Linked DNA regions of Nothobranchius furzeri. The protein of the gene in region 2 interacts with the protein of the main gene of each other region in a pairwise test. Links are inferred from orthologs where the notes say so. Each region holds a gene or a part of one and is shown on either strand. Other genes may lie near its edges.

Region 1 (7,816 bases), on a different chromosome or scaffold from region 2:
CCAAGTCATGTTATCCAATCTGACACCATAGCAGCCTTGGAGTTGCGTGCAACAACCCCCACGACGGAAGGAATGCAGACAGATGCTGTGAACCCCCCCCCCCCCCCCCCCCCCCCCCCGCCTTCAGATTGTGGTCTCTGCCTAGCGAGGCCATCAGAATGCAGGAACTCAACGTGCTCTGCCTTTTCCCGTGACCTCCCACCCACCTGTGGACACAGTTGGCTGAGCGCCACACGGGCTGCTCCCGCTGAGGACTCAGGATCCCAGCCCCCTCCACCCCCCCCCCCCCACACCCCCCGAAGTCTCATGTTGTGAACTGTGACGTTCGTGCTTATATGTTGAGGTGTTTTTTTGCATAGTAAAGCAACTCCCTGCCGGGAGTAACTCTGGTCTGCCTTTTTCTCCCTCCCCCAACTCTCCTCATGTAATCCCCTCTTCATCTAACTGAAATAAGCGCCGTTATGGCTGCTCTCGTGGTCCGCCTGTATCTGTTCTGTCTATATTTGTGTGTGTAACCTTGGTCAGGCTGTTCTGTGAAGTCAAGTTCCTATGCTCTGGTTCGCTGGAGCACTGGCAATAAAGCTCTCTCTAAAGCTCTCTCTGATCTGTCCAACTTCTATTTAATGACAATGATAATAAATAAATTCCAGAAGTAAAGCTTCTTAACCCTCCCACTGTCCTAACGGGTGTGACCCCGCCAGGAAAGTTGACCATTGAGCAGGGCTGATGGTTTATCCCTTGAGGTCCACGTGGCAGGGGTGAGCACCACCTCACCCCTGCCACGTGGACCTCAAGAGATAAACCATCAATCCTGCTCAATGGTCAACTTTCCTCGCGGGCAGGGGCGGATTCAGAACTGAAGAAGATCCGGGGCTTAACACACGCGCACACACACATGACATGCACTAGTCATATTTGTCTTGTACCACATAATTTTTAATCTGAAGCTACATAATAAGCATTTTCAGGGCAGAGTATTGTTCCTGTTAGTGTTTAGTGTGAGATGATAGTAAATATTCCCTTTCTTTCTCCAACAACTTTACCTGATAAGCTAACTTTAGGCAAACCAGCAGCACAACAAATATTTTCAAATAAGACTCACAAACCTGAGTCAACACCAGTCTCATCAAAGCTGGGGTTCTGTCGCCGTACTTTTGGTCTAAAAAAACGTCCTTATGTCCATCTTCACTCATGCGTTTCAGGCAGAGAGTGTAGAAGAAGCCGGCTGCTGAAGGGCTTCTTCTTCAGTGGTGGAGGCTCAGGCAGGCTGTATACAAACTACTGCCAGCTGCTCCCTCTCTGTTGGGCTTTGGTACTGCATGTTACTTCCACGTTTCAGATCCGGGGCTTTTCATAAAACATTCAGGGCTTGAGCCCAAGTAGCCGGGCCTAACGCCGCCCCTTCTCGTGGGTGTCATGGTCTGAGGCAAGGCCGGATTAACCATATGGGCAGCTGGGCAATTGCCCAGGGCCCAAGAACTCTAGGGCAGCAAGGGCACGATTGGGCTCATCACCTCCAGGAAAGCAGAGTAGATCGAAGAAAAGTTGAGAAGAAAGAGATTAAGATGATTTTGAAATTTAGGCAGGAAGATGAAAATATCAGAGTCAGTCCAATAGCGTTGTCGGGGGAGTTGAAAAAGAAGATTGGAGATGTGGAGGTGGAGAAAACATTGAGGGATGGTAGCCTGTTGATAATTTGAAGAACAGAAATGCAAAGCAGTGCCTATTGACAATATATGTAAGAAAGTGGTGTGTGAGAAAAAAGTGTTAGGAGAAAACAGATTCACACGGGGAGTGATGTTGGGGAATCCGATTGAAGAAGATCTGGAAAAACTCAAAAGAAGTATTCAGGGAGGAGAGTTGAATAACATCAAACATTTGATGAGAACAGAGAATGGTCAGAGGATGGAGAGTAAATCCGTCATGGTTGGATGTTTGAGTTTCCCAGTCAGAGCGTACGTTCCGCCACCATTAAGGTGCTTCAAATTTCAGAGGTATGGTCACATTGCTGCAGCTTGCAAAGGGAAACTGAGGTGCCCTAAATGTGGTGGAGAACATACAGTAAATATGATAAATGCGAGGATAATGTGCAAGAGAAATGTTGCAACTGTGGAGGCCAACATAGAGTAACATACGGAGGTTGTGGAGTAAGGAAAAGAGCGGTGGAAGTTCAACAGATTAAATCAATCAGTAATGTGAGCTATGCAGAAACAGTGAAGGGAGCTCAAAAGGGAAATGGTGTCCCACAAATGCTAAAAGCAGCTGATGAAATGAGTCAAGGAGAGGTGAGTGAGACAAGACTGACAGCTGGTAAACTTGTCTTATTCATGGCTTATGTTATCAATTGCACAGATCAGGTGAAACACAAATCAGAGAAAATAAAAATAATTATAAGAGGAGCAGAAAATGTTCTTGCATTAAAAGATAATTCATTGGGAACATAACTAGAATATCAGGTAAAGCAGGAAGATCAACTGACAGAATGCCAGAAGTCTTTTAGCAAGTGTGCAAGAGTTCAAAGGACTTATTGAAGGACTAAATAAGAAGCCAGATTTATGTGTATAAGAAACATGGTTGAAGTCCATATAGGATTTTAGTATTAAAGGTTATGTTGGTGTAAGGAGGGATGGAAATGAGGGGAATTGAGGAGGACGTGTTACGTAGAAGAAATACTGTATAGATTAGTACCATCGACATATAAATATTGGACAATGGGTTTCCATATAAATATTGGACAATGGGTTTCCATAGACTCCAATAACACGTTTTGGAAGAGAAATGGGAAGTGGCCACCACCGCCATTTTGACCGTGTCACAGGTTCCGTCAAGCTCAGACGATTCCACAAAAGGGAAGAGAGGTGGAGCTGAGGGTGGGGCTGTAAGGCTGGGATCAACTGACGAAACCCGGTCGAACTAGCTACAAGCTAGCCTGAAGCTAACCCAGTGTTGGGAGTAACGACGTTTAAGTATAACAGCGTCCGGTCAAATGTTTGGATGGATTAGAAATTTTTTGTTAGATAGAAATATTCAAGTCAAAATTGGGAAAAGTTAGTCAGAAAAATATTTTATTGAGAACGGCACTCCTCAGGGGAGTATAGTGAGCCCTCTATTGTTCTCAATAATGATAAATGATGTATTTAAATCAACCCAGTAACAGCTACAGGTGGAAATGGGAGAGATGCCTTTGAAGTTAAGAAGAACTCAACTTATAAGTATGTAGTGGGCTAGCCTGAAGGGAAGTAATATGTCTCATCCAGTCCATCATGTATTAAAACTGTGCTGGGAAAAAGAAGAGAGGGACACAAAAAATGTTGGATGGAGAATGGAGGAAAAACTTGAAGACTTATGCTGTGGTATTTACAGTTTGAAGAAGAAGAAGGTTTCATTAGGCGTAATGACCATCTGGTGCGGCAGGTGGCACTATGCTACTTCGAAGGCAGCCGTAAAGCACCGCCGAAGAAGAAGGCTCGCTTGAAACATGGGGTTGTCCTGTAGCAGATAGTTTATGGTGTCTTCGGTGAAACATGTCAGTGTTTCATGATGAGGTGGAGATCGAGGACTTTGAGTTAGACGAGGAGACCGACACGTATTACTTCCCGTGTCCCTGCGGAGACCGCTTCAGCATAACCAAAGTGAGCTCACTGGCAGCTAACGGCTAACAGCTAGCTGCTGCACACAACACTAGAACCTGTCTAACCCGAACCAGCTGAAACGTTTTGCGGGATTATGTTACAACCCATTTGTTTTTATGTGCTTAAACATGATTGATAGTGAGTTTTGTCTTTATATGTAAAAAAAATCTATGTTTAAATTGTTGCTCGGCTGGAATTTCAGACCAGATGATCGTTGAGTCCGGTTGGAGGTTTGTAGTTTTGGGCAGAGCAGAACCATGAGTGGCGTGAGTCTGAACCTGTGTGTGTTTAAGGAGGACCTGGAGAACGGGGAGGAGGTGGCCATGTGTCCCAGCTGTTCCCTCATCATTAAAGTCATCTATGATAAGGTAGCTAACATCCCAACACCACCAAGCTGGTTTGGTACCAGAGCCTGACCCAGAACCGGTTCTTTGGCTTTCCAGCACCAAAGCGCCTGTTTCTTGGTTCCAAACCAGTGCTGCACCTGGCACCAACCCTTAGCTGGGTCAGAACTGTTGCTTGCTAAGAACCGCATGCACCATGTCACCTGATCACCTGGGTCCACCGTATCAGGGCAAAACAAATGTGTAGTGTGGCTTCATCTGGTTCAAGCTCAGTTCAGCTATCAGAAGAAGCAGCTCACCTAGGTGGGGCAACAGTGAGTCACAGGGGTGTTGAACGGAGGGGACAAGTGGCGACTGGAGGCTCGTACTTATTTGCTTTGTTAAATCCAGGTGTGTTATTCTATATGTCATAATAAAACACCTGGATGTGGATTAGTGTGCACACCTATGAAATGGACATCTGGACATAATTTACTAAACACTTAAAACAGTTTTTATTGTTAAAGGAACATCAGTAAAGATGTGTATAAGGAAGAATATACACAGGTGCCCTAGGTGAGATTACTCCTTGGCAGCCCCTCATCCCCACTCTGCACACACACACACACACACCCTTTTATCTCGGTGTGCCCCTCGCACAAACAGAGTTTAAGGACGGCAGCCATCTAAACAGTTCAGTTTAGCAACAAGAATGTCGGCGGTCTCACCTTATTGGTCAGCCTGCAGACAGACTGACCAAAACATTGTTTGTGTTTCAGGAGCTATTCATGTCAGGAGAAGTGATCGAGGCTCCGCCGGAGCTCAAACTGCAGCAGGCTCAGTCCTGAAACTGGACTTCAGTGTAAGCTCTAATCTCTGAGAAGATCCTGGTGTGTGCCGTGCCCTGCTGGGACAGGTCAGACTCATGCTGTGAATTAATGGATCGGCTGTTGGGAGTTCCTCGTCCAGGATCCAGAACCCACCCCCTAGGAATGGGTTCAGTTACCGCAGAGAAAGTTGGCATGTTCAGCTTCTCGTTGATGTGGATTTACTGACTATTTTATTAAATATTTATGTTCATGCCTAGTCTGACGGGTTTTTTCTTTGGTGCTGTTCAGCTTTACCTCCTCATCAGCTGTTTGTGCAATAAATAAAAGAATAGCTGTTAGACTTTATACATTCGTTTGTGTAAAACTCAACTCATAAAAATTTCTGATCTTCTGTCACAATCTTCTGTAAATGCTACCTGAACCCCAGGGCGTGTGCTGATGTGATGCTGATCATTTTCAGAAGATTTTAATGTGACTCAGCTAAAGCAGAAATCTGCTGCTTCAGGTGAAAATGGGCTCCTTTGATCTCTTTTCAGGTGATGGTATTTTCTCCTGTATCCTGTCAGGCTGTAAAGCCATCAGAATCCATGAACTGGTGGACAAGACTATAGTGCATGAATTTGTCTGGAGTCTGGATTACTGTAATTCATTACTCTCAGGAAGTCCACAGAATGTAGTTAAAAGTCTTCAGCTTGTCCAAAATGCTGCAGCTAGAGTTCTGATGAGAATTTAAAAGAGAGATCATATCTCTCCTGTCTTAGCTTCCCTACATTGGCTACCTGTTAAATTCAGAATAGATTTTAAGATCCTCCTCTTCTCACATATAAAGCTCTAAAGTGCATCCCAACAAATAAGACAACCGACACCCAAATCACATCTGTCAGCCAGAACCGGCCCGCCAGCAATAACTTTTCACCCAGCAAATTATTTTGTATTTTCACTATTTCTTAACTTTTGTTTTCTTATTTGACTCATTTATTAATTATAAGCAGTTTGGAAATGCTTTCTGAAAAAGTTATGAAATAATCAAGATTAGGTTAATAAATAAAACAGATTAGATTAATAAATAAAATGGATTACAGTAATAAATAAAATGGATTACAGTAATAAATAAAATTAGGTTACTAAAATGGATTAAAGTAATAAATAAGATGGATTACAGTAATAAATAAAATGGATTAGGTTACTAAATAAATTACAGTAATAAATAAAATGGATTAGGTTACTAAATAAGATGGATTACAGTAATAAATAAGATGGATTAGGTTACTAAATAAGGATTACAGTAATAAAAAAGATGGATTACAGTAATAAATAAAATGGATTAGGTTACTAAATAAAATGAATTACAATAATAAGTAAGATGGATTACAGTAATAAATAAAATGGATTACAGTAATAAATACAATGGATTAGGTTACTAAATAAGGTTTACAATAATAAATAAGATGGATTACAGTAATAAATAAGATGGATTAGGTTACTAAAATGGATTACAGTAATAAATAAAATGGATTAGGTTACTAAATAAGGATTACAGTAATAAATAAGAAGGATTACAGTAATAAATAAGATGGATTACAGTAATAAATAAAATGGATTAGGTTACTAAATAAGGATTACAGTAATAAATAAGAAGGATTACAGTAATAAATAAAATGGATTAGGTTACTAAATAAAATGGATTACAGTAATAAATAAGATGGATTAGGTTACTAAATAAGGATTACAGTAATAAATAGATGGATTACTGTAATAAATAAAATGGATTAGGTTACTAAAATGGATTACAGTAATAAATAAAATAGATTCGGTTACTAAAATCGATTACAGTAATAAATAAAATGGATTACAGTAATAAATAAAATGGATTAGGTTACTAAATAAGGATTACAGTAATAAATAGATGGATTACTGTAATAAATAAAATGGATTAGGTTACTAAAATGGATTACAGTAATAAATAAAATGGATTAGGTTACTAAAATGGATTACAGTAATAAATAAAATGGATTAGGTTACTAAATAAGATGGATTACAGTAATAAATAAAATGGATTACAGTAATAAATAAAATGGATTAGGTTACTAAATAATGATTACAGTAATAAATAGATGGATTACTGTAATAAATAAAATGGATTAGGTTACTAAAATGGATTACAGTAATAAATAAAATGGATTAGGTTACTAAATAAGATGGATTACAGTAATAAATAAAATGGATTACAGTAATAAATAAAATGGATTAGGTTACTAAATAAGGATTACAGTAATAAATAAGATGGATTACAGTAATAAATAAAATGGATTACAGTAATAAGATGGATGGATAAAGGATTTACCTTGTGAAGGAGATTTTCAACATTCATAAAACCAGATAAACAATGTATAGAAGGTAGCAGCAGCAATGGAACAGCAGTTTCTAATTATTTTATAAACATAAAACAATTAACAGACTGAATAATGTACAAGTCTAGGTTTTCTTTGCAACAGTTACAGATGAAAGGTGATCCCACCCACCCACCGTAGCCTCGTCATCTCTAAGCCAAGTTAGACAGCTAATAAATACAGAAACATCCACAAACAGCCATTTACACAACAACTGGGCTGTCGTAAAGTCGTTATTGGTTTTGTAGAACCACATAAAATATCGATTGTGGTCTCAACCTGAATAACATGCAGATAGCCTAGGCGGGACACATGGCTCACAATTAAGCCACTTTCAAAAGCAAAAGCGTTACTTTCAACATGTGCAAGTATGTTGTCTCAAGCCCGTGTGTTCTAAGGTTTGTAACAAGGGAAACCGCTTGTAAATCCGTTAAAATTTCATCGAGTTAAGAGTGTTTTTGTTAAAGCTGATCACTCACCTTTCAGCTGCTACCAGTGAGAGCGGAGGAATCTGTTGCCCGAGGTAAGATGGCCGCCTGGTCGACTCCCGCTGTCGCCATCTAGTGTTTATATATACATATCTATGGTGTAATGACACAAAACAGGAAGTAACATTTTTGATTTTCAAAGTAAAAAACATA
Region 2 (7,218 bases):
ACTGGTTGTGCAGCACCAGGCTAAAGACCAAAGGTGACAGATCATCTGCTGCTGTGGCCCCCAGACTCTGGAACTCTCTCCCCCTGAGCCTGAGATCAGTGGACTTGGTGGTCTCCTTTAAAAAGCAGCTGAAAACTCATCTGTTCAAGCTGGTTTTTGGGTAACTTTCATCACCATGCTTTTTCTGCTACTAATACCTCTTTCTTATTCATGTTCTCTTTCCTTACATTTTTAATCACAATTTTTTTTCTTTATGATAACTTTCAATCTTTAAAAAAAAATCTTTTTTATTTTTGAAAAATTTGTTCTTGTGAAGCGCTTCATGTTTTTTATCGTGAGAGGCGCTATATAAAAGATTGTTTTCTTTCTTCTTTAAAAAAACTGTGTTCATAAGCAAAATAAATTCAATGTACAGCGAGCCATATCTGAAATGGATTCATTGTTGGGCTGCAAACTCTCATGCTATGAGCATAAGACACATTAGACTGTCTTCATGCGCTTTCACGCCACACCTATTTTGCAGACTGGAAAATAATACTTCATCTATTTGAGCGACACGTTGCATCGTGCTACTGCACACTAGATAATTATTATGCAGGAGGTTGTAGAAGTTCACTACAACATAAGATGTTTGTTTTTCTCTTTATTTTTATATTGTAAATGTTTGCACCGTGTATATGAACGTTAATTTAAGATTGTCGTAAATAATCAAAATCTAAATTTCAGTCAAAATAATTATAATTTTTGCTATAATCGAGCAGGCCTACTTCAATGTTAGAAAAGTAATGTTCTCATCTTATACTTTATCATACTTCCCAGCCTATTGGAGATCATAAATACTACCTGCACCATGGACCCTTCTGTAATTGACTGAGGTGAACGATTCTGTGTGGAGCATTACTGCAAACAAGATCAGTGTCTGAATGACTGAAGGCCATCATGGTAACAAACTGATAAAACATCATTAATGTTACGTATCTCATGTCTGGAAAGAGGTCCATTGGTTTCTGTAAGCGTAAGTGACTGAAATGCGAGATGTCGCTTTTGGTCTGACTGCTTAAAGAAATAATGAAGACGCATATCCAACTTTCACCACCTCGCCCATCTTATTCATCTGTAATGGGAATATCAAAGGCTTCAGAATTAAACCACTGTGTAATAAATTAATCTGCTGAGAAGTTTTAAGGTCCGCTTTTTGCTCTGTGGTTCTTCATCAAGAGTAATTAGTGTGGAGAGATGGATATCGCTGACAGATGATTCCCAGAACAAGGCTCTAAAGGAGCTAAATTACCACATTTACAGGAACCACTTTTCTTCAGTGGGATGATATGAGAGCAAGTTCAATCCACTTAAAAATGTAATAAATACACTCCAGTCATAAACGGTGATTAAAGACAGACACATCTGAGCTTCTGATCAGAATCCTGCTGGGGTTTTTCCATAGTTTCCATCTAGCAATTATGAGACACTTTGGAGTTAAAATTCTCACATTAAATTTTGAACACTGCTCCAGATTTTTACATCAGCATGAATAAAAATACCACAGATGAATACTAAAATGCAAGTGCAGACTTCCATCTAGAGAGAGAAACTTTTAACATTGCTGGTGCTACAAGCATACACGCCACTCGCCTTCCATCCTCTGATGACCTGTTAAACATAATGGACATGCAGGGAACTAATGATTGTCCATCATAACAGAAGAAGTCTGAAAGCACCATCTTGTGCTCTTTAATGTTCATTTTAAGGATGAGGAAGTGGCATGTGTGAACCTCCCATCACTTCGCTCCACTGTCACGCTCTCCTCTCTTTTCCTTTTCTCTCCTCTTGTCTCGACTGGTGGCAGGAGCAGTGAAATAGCAAAACAGGATTGGAAGCAAAGACCTGAGTGTTGCTATTTCTGGTGCTGAAGTAGGTCAGGCAGTAAAGAATACAGAACATTGAGCGCTGGTTATGATATCTGTTGCTCACTCGGCCTGTGCCCGTTCGCACCTGGGCGAGAGGTCCTCATGCGTGAAATTCATCTTGGATGGCCAGAGGTGGGAGATAGACCAAAGACTCTGTGGGCACAGCTCATCCAATCTGGGGAAACATTTTCATGTGAATACTTAAACTTACTGGGACAATGGAGGCACAAAACACACGAGGGTTCATTTACTTGTATTTATAGACTCATGCAAGTTTAGGCTATGGGGGGGGGTCACTGTTGTGCTGTTTATTGTCAGGAATTTTGACACCGGATTGGTTCACCAGGAAATGACTCGTGGTTTGAGATTTTTTTATCATTTTGTTGTGCAGAATATTGGACTGGCACTTTGTTGCCATGGAAACACCGATGTGTGGTATTATACTCGGTAAGTATGAATTAAGCACAGCACCAAAATGAGTCCCCCTGTGTTTTATCACGTCCAGATCACTAATAATAAAAGTCATGCCAGCTGAAGTCCACTTATGGAGCCACGCTGCGTCGTACACACAGAGCTAAAAGGGCTTCTGTGATGTGTGAGCTGTTTCAGGTTTTCACACTGACTCAAGCTGCTGGTGTGAAATCCTGGTGTTTAAACTGTTGAAAGAGTAAATTATTTTGTGGGTGACGAACTAGAGACACAGAACGACACTCGATGAATTAAGTGAAAACGTGGCACAAAGACACGCAACTACTGAATGAGGAAGATGAGTTACCCTTGAGAAAGCAAGTAAGCTCGCTTCTGTTGCCATGGAAATGGAACCTATTAGGTAACTGTGTTGCCATGGCACGTGTCTCCTCAGTGATGCAGACCTGACCACACCCACCAACAAGCTCACCAGCTGTGAGGAGCAGGAATGCTTCGTTGCCGGCCAAGTGTCGGTGTTGAGATCAGAGAAGCTCTGCGTGTGATTGTGTGGCTGCTGTTTTATTTATTTATTATTAATCTTTTTGTTCCCAGCCCTTCGGCTTGTTGCTAATTTCAGCCCGCATTCACACACCTCTGCCCCCTCTCATATGTCCTGTCACTGACCCGAGACCACTCTCCTTTTCAGGGGGGCGCCTTCTCTCGTGGGGTTGGAATGAACACGGAATGTGCGGCGACGGTTCACAGGCTGACGTCTATCCTCCTCAGCTCGTTCCTGACCTGAGACCTGCTCTTATTGGCTGCGGAGCTGGACATTCGATGGCAGTGTGCGCTGCGGCGACTGGTTTGAGACAGACTGTGGACTCCACATGAGAAGCGTTGCAGCACGAACAGTGCACAGAATCACAATCAGACCACAGAAACACAATGATTATGGGAATTAAGAAGCTCCTCATGCTGTCAGTTCATCTCCCTGTTCTTCCAACCCTGAGCTAGTTGTCACACTGTATGTGTCATAAATACTTTGGTGAGTTCAGTTAAAGCATGCGTTTGGCCACCTTTTTTTTTTTTTTTGCTGCTGATCAAGTCTCATAATGAAACTGTTGTGTTTTAAGACTAGACTGATACTAAAACATCATCTTCTAATATTTGTACAATATTATGTCACAGGAAATTGTCGGTCTCTGCTCCTATTCCTGATGTTTCTCTTTTTATTAATTTCATTGTCTAAACACACAAATCATGTTATCCTTTGTTCATACATTTGTGGGTTTGTAGCTTATATACTATTCATTTGTTTAATTTTGACTTTTAGTTGAACCTATTGACAACATTTGACCTAAAAATGCATGTTTCTAAGGAGAAGACATCAGCAGCACCAGCTGGAACTCCTAGCCCCGTGCCTAATGGGCCAAAGGCATTTAAAACCCTCAGGTCTGCATGCTTTAAGTTTTTGTTGCACATGTTTTGCATTTAAAATGTGGAAAATATAAACATCAGTTAACTTATTCTAAATACCCTTTGACCTTGGTTAGTTAAAATAAAACACTCACTGAAAGCTGATTAGTTCTGTTTTTTATTTGTTACTATTTATTGCACAAGTCTGAACTGTATTGGTTAAAAAAGACACACAAAAAAATCTCTGAACATCAAATCAATCAAAACGATCACCGAACACCTTATTAGGATAACTAACCACAAACTGCACTGTGTCCAAAACACACACTCACTAACATTTCACTAAACTGCACACATCAGTTGCATTGTAGTTTGTTTTCATCTTTGTTTTGTTCACGATTACAGCTGCTGTGTTTCCTTGTTTGTTTGTTTGTCTTTTTCTGTCTGTTGAACAAGACCAGCATCATGATCCCAGCTCTACTGGCAGATTTAAATCTGCTTTCACTAACTGCACACAGATCTAAGGAAGTTGTTGGCAGTGTGTTTGCAGTTGTTTGGTAAAAGTTGGTCCCTTCTCACAAACTTTTTCACATAAGCAATAAATCTGTTTGCAGCATTTGTGCTTAAAGGGCTTATTCACAATTTTGTGAAAAAACAATATTTACCCCCTTATAGATTTCTTCCATTTGTTTGTTTTGTCACACTTAAAGGTGCAATATGTAAGAATGACATCATGTGGCCAAATTTGGTTACTGCAGCCTATTTTCAAAACACACAGGGTGACTCACTTTCATTTTGTGAGTTTCGTGACTGTTGCCGGTTACGGCTCAGCGCCAGAAGACTCTGGATACCAAGCAAAGACGAATCATATGCAGTATATGGATAAATAGTTTGTCGTATCTGGTGTTAGCACTCTTGGGTGTTACTACACTTACTACACTGATTACCGTAGCTTGTCTCGGGGAATAATGGAAGTGTGGTTGTTTTCTGTTTTGCTTTTAGCTTGCAGTTTTATTTCTAAACAACTCATTAAAAGGAAGTAAAATGCCACAATTGACTCATTATTCATTTCATACATACATTTTACTGTAATATCGAGTTGTTGGTAATTGAAAAAGTAGCTAGAGATTTTTTTTAAGGCCAACTTCTTTTTTCTAATTCACCATTAGCATTGTTAGCTCAACATTAGTCTCTAGCCTGCTTCACCTGATTATAGAGTAAAACAAAAAGATGCCGTGACTTCTCAGGGGTACAAGACATAACTTCTGGGTTGCTTCTGTCTTTGGCTTAGGATCTTTGCAAAACATTGTAGAGTTTTGCTGGCCAGTGTCGAATAGCAAAAGAGCGTTAGCTCAGCAACCCCGCGGGCTCATAGATTGTAAACAGTGACCACGTCCCTCTTTGACCTTTTCAAAAGAAAATAAACCAACAACCCCCAGCTGGCTGTTTCATTATAACCTCATACCAACATGATTGAGACATGAGTTTGTTTTGTGATGTAAAATTATTACATATGTTATCTTTAAATGTTTAAGATCAGAAAACAAATTGCTATGTCAACAAAAATAACCTGAGTAAATAAAAATGCAGTTTTCAAATGTGGATTTCACATATCTAAGGGGGCAAACGGTACATATAACTGGCTGGTAACAACTTCATCAAGTGTGTATTATAACAGATGGCCTGTCACATCATTTTTCATTGCAGAAATGTAATTCAGCCTCACTGAAGTATTTTTCAGCTTGAATGGACTGGTTAAGGCAGTGCAACATCATTGTAAACGAACGTAGGTCTGAACTTTGACACTGCCTCTCCAACACCTTTAATTTGTTTGCTTTTTAATTCCATATTTGGTTCTTTTTAAAACACAGATAAGTTTTTCTTTACCTTGCTGACGTACGTTTTGTTTGCCGACTGCAAAACATCCTCAAAGCTGACGCTGATGGCGGCGTCACTTCCTACACCGTTTATCCGTGGGCAGCAGAGGACGTTGTCACCCTCTGCTTCCCGCTCTCCCCTCTCCGATGATGCAGTCCCATGAGCGATCCAATGAGTAAACTCCATCATCTCTGTTCATGGCCCCGCATCCACGTCTCCTTATCTCTATAGCTTCCTTTATCCATCTTTTGTATTTCTGTTGTTCGGTGTTTATGATCCTTGTGTTGTCCCAGTCCATTATATGGTTTTCTCTTGTGCAGTGATCTGTTACGGCTGACTTCTTTATTGTGCTTTCTGCTTCTTGTGTTGCTGCTTTTGTGTGTTTTCGACTTGCCTCTTTCTCGCACTCCTTTCTATGTTCTATTGTTCGTGTGTTGAGTTGGCGTCCGGTTTCTCCTATGTGTGTTTTATTGCAGAGTTTGCATGGGATTTCGTAAACGACTCCACATTTAAGTCCAGCTGGTATCTTGTCTTTTGGGTGTACTAGTCTGTTTCTAACTGTTGTGTATGGTGTAAACCAGTGATAACCCTACCATACATCAAAGGCATAACAGAAAAAATAATAGCAACAATGAAAAAACACAACATAAACACACCAACAAAACCATACACAACAGTTAGAAACAGACTAGTGCACCCGAAAGACAAGATACCAGCTGGACTTAAATGTGGAGTCGTTTACGAAATCCCATGCAAACTCTGCAATAAAACACACATAGGAGAAACCGGACGCCAACTCAACACACGAACAATAGAACATAGAAAGGAGTGTGAGAAAGAGGCAAGTCGAAAACACACAAAAGCAGCAAAACAAGAAGCAGAAAGCACAATAAAGAAGTCAGCCGTAACAGATCACTGCACAAGAGAAAACCATATAATGGACTGGGACAACACAAGGATCATAAACACCGAACAACAGAAATACAAAAGATGGATAAAGGAAGCTATAGAGATAAGGAGACGTGGATGCAGGACCATGAACAGGGACGATGGGGTTTACTCATTGGATCGCTCATGGGACTGCATCATCGGAGAGGGGAGAGCGGGCAGCAGAGGGCAACAACGTCCTCTGCTGCCCGCAGATAAATGAAGTAGGAGGTGACGCCACCATCAGCGTCAGCTCTGAGGATGTTTTGCAGTTGGCTAACGAATCATACGTCAGCAAGGTAAAGAAAAACCTTTCCTGTGTTTTAAAAAGAACCAAAAATGGAATTAGAAACTAAACACAGTAAGAACACACCAACGTTGTTTGCCTTTTCCTAGCCATTCGGGGATTGGCCTGCTGGTGTTTTGGGACATTGTCCTGTTGTGCCTGAGTGTGCTGGAGCTGACAGTGACACACTGAAGGTCTAAAGAGAGCCAAATTCACATAAATATTCAAGGTTAATTTACAACTGAACATGGAGCCAGGTTATTCTGGATTTGTTGCTTTCAATTTATTATTTGGAAATTGCGTTTTTAATTTATTGAGTTTACCTTTGTCTGAATCTTGCATTCTGTTTGCTGATCTTTTAAACTTAAGACAAGTAAAATCAGAAGAAATCTAAAG

What was found. The genes of interacting proteins can lie anywhere in the genome.
Region 1: the proteins of sergef (region 2) and dph3 interact in binary tests that used the Homo sapiens proteins (3 or more experiments, as listed by UniProt). The link is inferred for Nothobranchius furzeri from reciprocal best matches to the Homo sapiens genes SERGEF and DPH3.

The regions. Positions count from the first base shown.
Region 1 is NC_091747.1:68,460,759-68,468,574, reverse strand, and holds dph3 (diphthamide biosynthesis protein 3), read left to right. Parts: upstream 1-3,173; 5' UTR 3,174-3,524; coding exon 3,525-3,632; intron 3,633-3,925; coding exon 3,926-4,000; intron 4,001-4,734; coding exon 4,735-4,803; 3' UTR 4,804-5,039; downstream 5,040-7,816.
Region 2 is NC_091744.1:64,858,405-64,865,622, reverse strand, and holds the end of sergef (secretion-regulating guanine nucleotide exchange factor), read left to right. Parts: intron 1-1,843; exon of another isoform or gene 1,844-1,967; coding exon of another isoform or gene 1,968-2,082; intron 2,083-2,298; coding exon of another isoform or gene 2,299-2,354; intron 2,355-3,021; coding exon 3,022-3,206; 3' UTR 3,207-3,896; downstream 3,897-7,218. Other genes in the region: kcnc1b (potassium voltage-gated channel subfamily C member 1b), read right to left, coding at 1,968-2,082. UniProt on the Homo sapiens protein: Probable guanine nucleotide exchange factor (GEF), which may be involved in the secretion process.